Linked DNA regions of Xenopus tropicalis. The protein of the gene in region 1 binds, or shares a complex with, the protein of each later gene. Links are inferred from orthologs where the notes say so. Each region holds a gene or a part of one and is shown in the gene's direction. Other genes may lie near its edges.

Evidence for each region. Proteins that work in one complex are often made in the same cells at the same time.
Region 2: cpsf3 (region 1) and cpsf4 share a complex: the UniProt entries of both Homo sapiens proteins name them as parts of the cleavage and polyadenylation specificity factor (CPSF) complex. The link is inferred for Xenopus tropicalis from reciprocal best matches to the Homo sapiens genes CPSF3 and CPSF4.

The regions. Positions count from the first base shown.
Region 1 is NC_030681.2:137,813,757-137,818,074, forward strand, and holds part of cpsf3 (cleavage and polyadenylation specificity factor subunit 3), read left to right. Parts: intron 1-1,603; coding exon 1,604-1,750; intron 1,751-2,126; coding exon 2,127-2,279; intron 2,280-2,379; coding exon 2,380-2,488; intron 2,489-2,938; coding exon 2,939-3,037; intron 3,038-3,968; coding exon 3,969-4,063; intron 4,064-4,318. UniProt on the Homo sapiens protein: Component of the cleavage and polyadenylation specificity factor (CPSF) complex that plays a key role in pre-mRNA 3'-end formation, recognizing the AAUAAA signal sequence and interacting with poly(A) polymerase and other factors to bring about cleavage and poly(A) addition.
Region 2 is NC_030685.2:47,261,644-47,265,594, reverse strand, and holds the start of cpsf4 (cleavage and polyadenylation specificity factor subunit 4), read left to right. Parts: upstream 1-1,151; 5' UTR 1,152-1,328; intron 1,329-1,444; exon of another isoform or gene 1,445-1,499; 5' UTR 1,500-1,653; coding exon 1,654-1,756; exon of another isoform or gene 1,757-1,808; intron 1,809-3,951. UniProt on the Homo sapiens protein: Component of the cleavage and polyadenylation specificity factor (CPSF) complex that play a key role in pre-mRNA 3'-end formation, recognizing the AAUAAA signal sequence and interacting with poly(A) polymerase and other factors to bring about cleavage and poly(A) addition.

The DNA.
Region 1 (4,318 bases):
CAAAGAGCATGGCAAATATATTTTTCACTTGTGCCTAGTCACATGACACAGTGGGCATATTCAACTAAATTTGGATGCAACTGCAAATTTTGTCATCTTACCCACATCCTCAGTCACTCTCAGTCAAATCTAGGGTTACCTAGTTAGTGCATTCCTCCATTAACATTTTACTAGTTCTATAGGTGCCAAACTCTGCCCATTTTCTAGTCATTAACTATCATCCCAGCTCTGCTAAAAGGGGTTGTTTCCCTAAAAATTAACATTTAGTATGTTGCAGGTATTTATTTTCTCAGACAATTTGCTTTTGGTCTTCAGTTTTTATTATTTTTATTATTATAGGTGTTTTTTTTAATTATTTCGCTTTTTTGTTTAACATCTCTCCAGTTTAGAATTTAGCAGCTATCTGGTTTCTATGGTCCAAATTACCCTAGCAACCAGGCAGTGGTTTGAATGAAAGGCTAGGGTATTAATAGGGCAGGGGCTGAATATAGAAAGGTGAGTAAGATAAAGTAGCCAAAACAATAACATTGTACCATCACAGAGCAGTAGTTGTTTGCCTGCTGGGGTCAGTAACCCCCCCATCTGAAAGCTAGAAAGATTAAAAAAAAAAAAGTGGGGAAAATAATTAAAAAAACTATAAGATATAAAAAAAAAAAAAAAAAAGCACGATTGAAAAGTTACTAAGGATTGCCCATCCTATAACATACAAAGAGTTAACTTAAAGGTAAACTACCCCCTTAAAAGTGTATTAGGCTGTTAATGACCGTTGGACTGTAGTTTAATAGCTGTTAGGCTGCTTGGGAGTTTGATATCCAGCATCATTACACAGCTCACACCAAAACCTGCCTGCCGGCACAGGCCAACCTGTGTTTGTCTGCATTGGTGTGGGGGGATACTGGGACCTTACTGTGCTTTAGTCTTGCATCTCTGCCTGGTGGCATCTGGAAATACATCAAAAAGACTTTGGGACCCTGCTGCACTTTGCTTCTACACCTGCTGGGGTCTCAAAATACACAAGCTTGGTGGGTCTACTTGGAAAAAAAAATGAATAATAACAATGACAATAACAGCATTAGCATCCAGCTCATTTGACACAACTCTATTGCATGTGTCGACACAACACTCTAGGGGAACCCTGCAACTCTGGATTGGTTCCTGGGTTCTGTTGTAGCCTGTACATTGCACAATTCTCTACACTAGGCACTTCCTGCAAGATCTAAATGTGTGAGAGCAAAGTTACTTTGTGAAGCAGAGCATGTACAGCCCTACATCCATTTTAGCACTCTGCACTCATAAATATAGTATAGTGATTAATGTCCATCATATGCATTAGACACCCCTAACAGAGTGACACCAGGAGTCTTAGTACCTAGGTACCTAGCTGTGTCAGTGCAAAATATCTCACTGTCTGGCCTGTGCCACCACCCCAACATTTGATTTTATCATGTAAATGTAAGAAGAAGCAAAATGGTGTATGTATGGAAAATGGGCTTAGTATATATTAATATAATGAACAGAATATTGTATATATGTGTCAGCATCCCATGTAGCTGTATAAGACATGCAGGCTTCCCCCTGTTCTGATGGAACTTCCTTCCCACAGCATATCATGTCTGAGCCCGAGGAGATCGCCACCATGTCTGGGCAGAAGCTGCCGCTTAAGATGTCTGTGGATTACATTTCATTCTCAGCCCACACAGATTACCAGCAAACCAGCGAGTTTGTCCGGGCCCTGAAACCTCCTCATGTGGTGAGTATCAGTCCCCACCTTGTTTCCCCATTCCTGCAATTGATCTCCCTGTTAGGCTTGCACATCCCTTGACGCAATATGTGCCATAAAAAGCATTGGAACTGCCAGCACAGCCAGTTGGAGTTCATCCACCTTTAGTCCTAGAATTATTTATATGAATGAACACTGCAGTGCAATTTTATCAGTTATATCAAATCCTCTATTATAATTTCTCTGCTAAAGGACTCTGAATCCCCACACTCATTCTGGGGTCAGTTTTGTTAGAAGCCACTACCTGGGCTATAAGCAAATTGGACTCTGTCGCTTTGTACTTTTATATTTAAAGTTGTATCAACGATGAACTTCCCCTTTAGGCATTTATTTGTAATATCCACAGATACTGGTGCATGGGGAACAGAATGAAATGGCAAGGCTAAAAGCTGCTCTCATACGAGAATACGAGGACAATGATGAAGTAGAGATTGAGGTTCACAACCCCAGGAACACAGAGGCGGTGACACTGAACTTCAGAGGAGAAAAGTTGGCAAAGGTACAGCACTGCCCCGAAAGACAGGGCCCACGTTGGTTTTGGAATGCAAACTGCTGCTCGGTGGCATTTTCAGATTCACATTGCAGTTTCTGTCCACCAGGTGATGGGTTTACTGGCAGACAAGAAGCCAGAGCAAGGACAGAGGATTTCAGGGATCCTGGTGAAGAGGAACTTTAACTATCACATACTTTGTCCCAGTGACCTCTCTAGTAAGTGAAGCCGCAGTGCAGCTCATTTATTACCACTGGGCAAATTTGCACTTGGGCAGTAACCTATGGCAACAAATCAAATGTTTGGTTTTAATTGTTCTACCTCCAGGTGGGTAAAAGAAATTAATCACTAATTGGTTGCTTTGAGTTGCAATAAGACAGGGGAGAGCCAGTATTGCAGATACGAACGTCATGTATATTATAGAGCCCCTGGCTGCTTTGGCTCTGCTAGACAATAAGAAGGGAAAGTGAGAGTAAGGGGAGCTACGGTAGATTATTGTTCAGGGTTTTTATAGAAACTGGAATGACATGGTATGCTAAACAAATGTATTTCCTTCTATTGTATAACATTATATTTAAAATCAAGGTATATGTCATCTTTAATCAACTTAATGTAATGTGATTTAATGTAGTATAGCTAACTGTAATTCTCTGTTTTTCTGTCTGTAGGTTATACTGACTTGGCCATGAGCACCGTCACGCAGAAACAGGCCATTCCATATACTGGCCCTTTTAACCTTCTGTCTTGCCAGTTACAGCAGCTTACAGGTAACATCCTTTCTTATATATACACAAAGGGTCATCTCTGCCCTGCCTGACCCCTGTGACATTCATTTCTGTGATGGGCTGATACAGGACAGTGGAATCGCATTGAGTGATAAAGCCATAAAACATTACATTTGCCCTGGGGCCCCAGTGTCTGAGAATGTCCCTAGTTAAAGTGGAAATTATATAATATTGTTATGTGTAAGGTCATTGAGGGTGCTGTTTTAGTGAACCTGTCACTGAAGGACAGTAGATAGTCTATCCCCATGTACTTAATGTTTTCTTAGGTTGGGAAATGAGGCATTCTGACTTACCCAGGGCCCCGAGGGTAGGATCCATTTTGGCAAACCTAAGACTGCAATCCAAATGGTGATCCATTTTTATCACCAACATTCTCCCAAGTGACGGGTTTTATTGGGAGCTATTGATTATAGACTGGAGAGCAGGGAAACCACTCAGCTAGCCCTGTCCTTAAAATACATTTACTTTTCCATGTCAGCTGTGTTGCACACTAGCATACATCTAGTTTGTATTATAGGGAGATACGGCCATATTGGTTAATGAGGTAGGGACTCCTGACTGATATAGAGAGAATGGCTACAACTGGCAAATACAATATGCCATCTGCTTCTGTCCCATAACCTGCCGGCCTTTCCCTGCTTCCCCCCTGATCTCCAATTCATCTCTACATACTATATACTCATTTCCCAGTCTGTCTGACCTCTCTGCATGCTCCCTAATTTCCATGTCTTGTTCCCCAATCTTTGTAGCCACCCCATCTCTTTTCAATATCATGTGAAATGATGAAAATGTATATGACAGAAATGTATATTGCATGTATTGTATAGGACTTGGCATTAAAACCAACAGGTGCTGCCAGGGCATGGGCATCAGGCAGACCTGCTATAATAAGCCTTTCTCTCTCTCCTTTCAGGGGATGTGGAAGAGATTGAAGTGAATGAGAAAGATGCACTGAGGGTATTCAAAGCTGTCACTGTTGTGAGGGACGCTGGGATGGTGTACCTGGAGGTAACTTTATATCTCACTCTGTTCCCCTGCTACTAATATCTGCCTTGTGGGAGAAACAGTTGTAATAGTGGTACCCACTATGGTTGCTCTGGTATTTTATCAGTGTGAGTGGAGCTGCCATATTGTGTATCTGGGTTGACCCACTCTCCATATAGAAAACAGGCAATGTATCTGGCAATGTGCCTGATCCCAAGGGATAATATCAGCTTTAAAGAGTCTGTGAACATTTATAGGGCCAGTTGGTAATGGCACTTG
Region 2 (3,951 bases), on another chromosome or scaffold:
AACTTTCCCTAACTTCTGTAAATTTTCATTTGTTACAAAAACCCATTAGGGGAAATAACATCAATTGCTGAGATTTTTCCACCCAAAACCCAGAATGAATTAGCAAACTCAAAAAGTGGGGTTTCCTTTATGATAGTTCAAGCACAAAGGTAAGCAATGAGGCCCTCAGTCCTGTTAGTGACTAGGGATAAAGAATTTGTTTAAAGGTGAACTAAACCCCCCCACAGGAAAAAGCCCCTCATTGCCTGGCCTCAATTGGCCCCCCTCCCTGCAACTTCCTCACAGAAAAATGGGCACTTTTCTAACAGACTCTGCCGGGAGTGAGCAGGAATGGGGTTAATTAAGGGTAGGCTATGGGGCTTTTGCTTGTGGGAGAGTTAGTCCTCATTTAAAAAGAGAAAATGACCGCTGCATAAACAAATATACCCTTCTCCTAGAAAAATGAGTTATCTGTGGACTAGTAAACTGTTTTACTATCTTCTCACCCCACAATTGCTTAGAAGAACTAGGAAGCTGGAAAATCAAGGAGCTTTCAGTTCCAGAGTTTGCCATATATAATGCAAGAAACTGCAAAACTATAGATATTTCTTAATTAAAATAGAAGGCAAAGGATATTTTTGGCCTATTTACTGGACTCTTGCTGGGGATATATTCTGCTCCTTTAAAGCGAATGCTTGTTTGTTGACCTCTAATTAACAAATTCCTATTGCCAAAATAAGTATTTTCACAATAGGAACTTGTTAGGGGGAAAAAAGTGTGACCCCCCTCCAACTTTGGGACAGTGCTTGGGACACAAGCCAAATTTCATTAGCAGATTTAAGAAAAACTAACCCTTTTTTTGTTAATAATTCCCTAATGCCAAAATACTATGTAAGAAGTAGTAATACGTTATAGCGACGGGTATATATAGATTTCCCTATTCTGTATTCTCCAGTGTCATATCTAGAAAGTGGACCCAGCAGCTGCGGACTGTATAGAGATTCCTTTGTAATACTGACAGATAGACAGTTTCAAAATATGATTATGAAAAGTTTCATTATTGCTAAAGCGAAGGACGGGCAGAATGTTTTTGCTTTAGGGCCCTGTAACCTTTAGCTACACATGCCTGTATTGCTGAGAGCACTGCCAATATGTCACATTGCCGGGGTTTCCTGGCACTGCTGGGAGATACTGACAGAGACACACAGATTTCCCTATTAAAACACATGGACTAAGCAAAGACTACTGCGCTAAAAAGCATACATTTCACATTACATATTGCATTTACAATCGTACTGTCTGTAATCCGACATCCTAACAAGTTTCAAAATATTCGTCCTCTATCCTTTGTGAGACACCTTACTCCGTAGTATTGCCTTTCTATACACAATTCTGATCAGTAAATGTACCATAACGAACATTTCTAAATTGCTTTATACAAATAACATCCAACTTATTAACTTACTATCCAACATCGCTCTCACGTTTCGATTTTAATCTTTTTTTTTTTCCACCCACAGCTTTCAGCCCCGCCTCCTCCCGACGTGCTTTGCATTGGTTCTTTCCCAGAGTGCCCTGCTCTAGGTTGAGAAATCCATCGTTCGGCGTTCTGCTGGATGAGTCTGATGCTGATATTTGGTGTTGGTGTCGGACTCGGTACCGGTAACGATAACGATGCAGGAGTTAATTGCTTGTGTGGATCATATCCGGTTCGATCTGGAACTGGCCGTGGAACAACAGCTGGGGGCTCAACCCCTCCCTTTCCCGGGCATGGACAGTGAGTACCGGGGCCTGATCCCTCCCATTACCGGGGTGGGCTTTTAAACCGGGTAATGATCCCTTCTCTTAGCCCTATGATGTTTTTTTAAAGAGTGGATAGTGTGATCTAAATCCGACTCTTTGGGCATGAGGCAGCGACCTACACGTGACTTTATGCATTAGAAACTGAATAGTGGGACCTGGTTTCTTTTTTGTCTTGTTCTTCAGAGAAGTGAAATCTTACTTGGGGGTCTTTTAGCTGTTAGTAATTTACAGCTCTCAGGGATAGCTGTGAGTTTTAAGTCAACAAATGGATGGCCGCAGGTTGGACGTTATCCTGCTGTGAAAGCAGGTTATAGGTATTTTAAAAAGGACGGGACGCAAGCCAGGGTCTGAAAAAATATCTGCCCAAAGTCAACGTACCCCTTTATCTAGGATAATGACAGCGATTTTAATAGCAAATTGTGTGAGACTTTTCCGCGCCTGTCAGTCCCTGGTTTCCCTGTATGTCAGTCACGTGGTTTTGTAACACACAGTCAATTGGCTTTGAAATAAAAACCATAACTACTGTTATCTTCCTTATATCTGATATACTCCCAGAGAGAGAAACATGCACTATCTGTCCTATAGAGGTATCTATAACATACAAGCTGCTTGCAAATGTAAAAGTAACAAGTTGCATAAATAAGCTGAATTATGTAGGTTTGACTATGCTGACCAGTTCACACACACTCACACAGGCACATGCAAAGTGGGTCATGGGATCTAATAACCAGGGGGACATGTTGTGTTAAAAACAATATTGTGCCAATGAATTGAGGGGGCACACTGTACTGTAGGATAGGAACCAATCAGCAGCTAGGCTGACCTGATAGGGAACTGAAGCCTGTCTTTGCCTGTGTGACTGCAGGGCTGTGATTGGCTATCACTATCCTACTGTGCTTCTGGCAGGGAGCATTAGGAGACGGTCTATAGGGAGCTCCAAAAAAGGACCATTTTTACAGATAGTATTAATTTTTAGTCCAAAGTGAAACCAGCACCATAATTGCCTACAAGATTAGAGGTTTTGTGGTTATCCTTTATGTCTCCTTTAAAGCTTTCAATAAATTAGACCTAGAAATCAACCAAAGGCATATGAGAGCTTCGGAAAGTAGCAACTTTCCATCAACATTTATAGTGTAATAACAGATTTTAGTACAGAACAGGATGCTGGAGTACTTGCCAACCCAGGCAATTGTGTACATGGCTGGTCCTTCTTGTGAATCTTATGCTGCCTATAAGGTGTGACAAGCAGGTTGTGTTTTGTAGCTTGCAATCTTACATTAGGCAATGGCATATGGGACGTATTGCCACCTGCACATACTCTTCTCCAGTTCGAGCAACAAAACGTCCAAAGCTCTCTTCCCATCAGCATTAATGTAAATAACTGGTGGGAAAACATATGCATTGCGTACTAGCCTGAAGTTGTCTTGCAAGGTTACTATGAGAAGCAGACGTAATATACCAGTTTGAGCAGTACATTTTTCCCTATCCAGTATAGGTAGCACTGTGATCGGGGTGATATTATAACAGAATTGAACATTGATCCAGAGGATCGCAAACAAAAAAATAAACATCTGAAGCTATCTCCAGTTTTCCTCAGCAGGGTAAAATTCCTTCCTGACTTTGAAGGGCAATTGGACTAGTTCCTAAATCAACTTCTAAGAGTACTGTAACCCTAGATTTTCTCACTTTCTAAGAAGGCATCCAACCCTCTTTTGAAACTGTCTAATGCAGGGTTGGGCAAACTTTTTGGCTCAGGGGCCACATTGACTTACAGACGGGCCGGGCCAGCATTACACCGTTTCCACTTGTCAGACGCCTCGCGTCATGAGACTTCCAGAGTCGGCAAGCCAGATTAAAAGGACCAACGGGCCGGACGTGGCCTGCGGGCCGTAGTTTGCCCACCCCTGGTCTAATGTATCTTCCAGTACAACTGCTTTGGTGACAGAATTTCACAGCTCTCCCTGTGTTGCATCACCTCTGTTTCAAAACAGTGTAAAAAACTGACATTCTAAAGCTGGCTATACACGTAACAATTACAATCTTTCCTGTGACCATTGGTCTCACGAAAAATTGTTCATACCCTCCAATGACGTTCAGGGCTAATTCGTCGGATGTGGCAGTAGAAACAATAGGCATTCTACTCCTCTCTGACCATTCAGCCCTAAATTC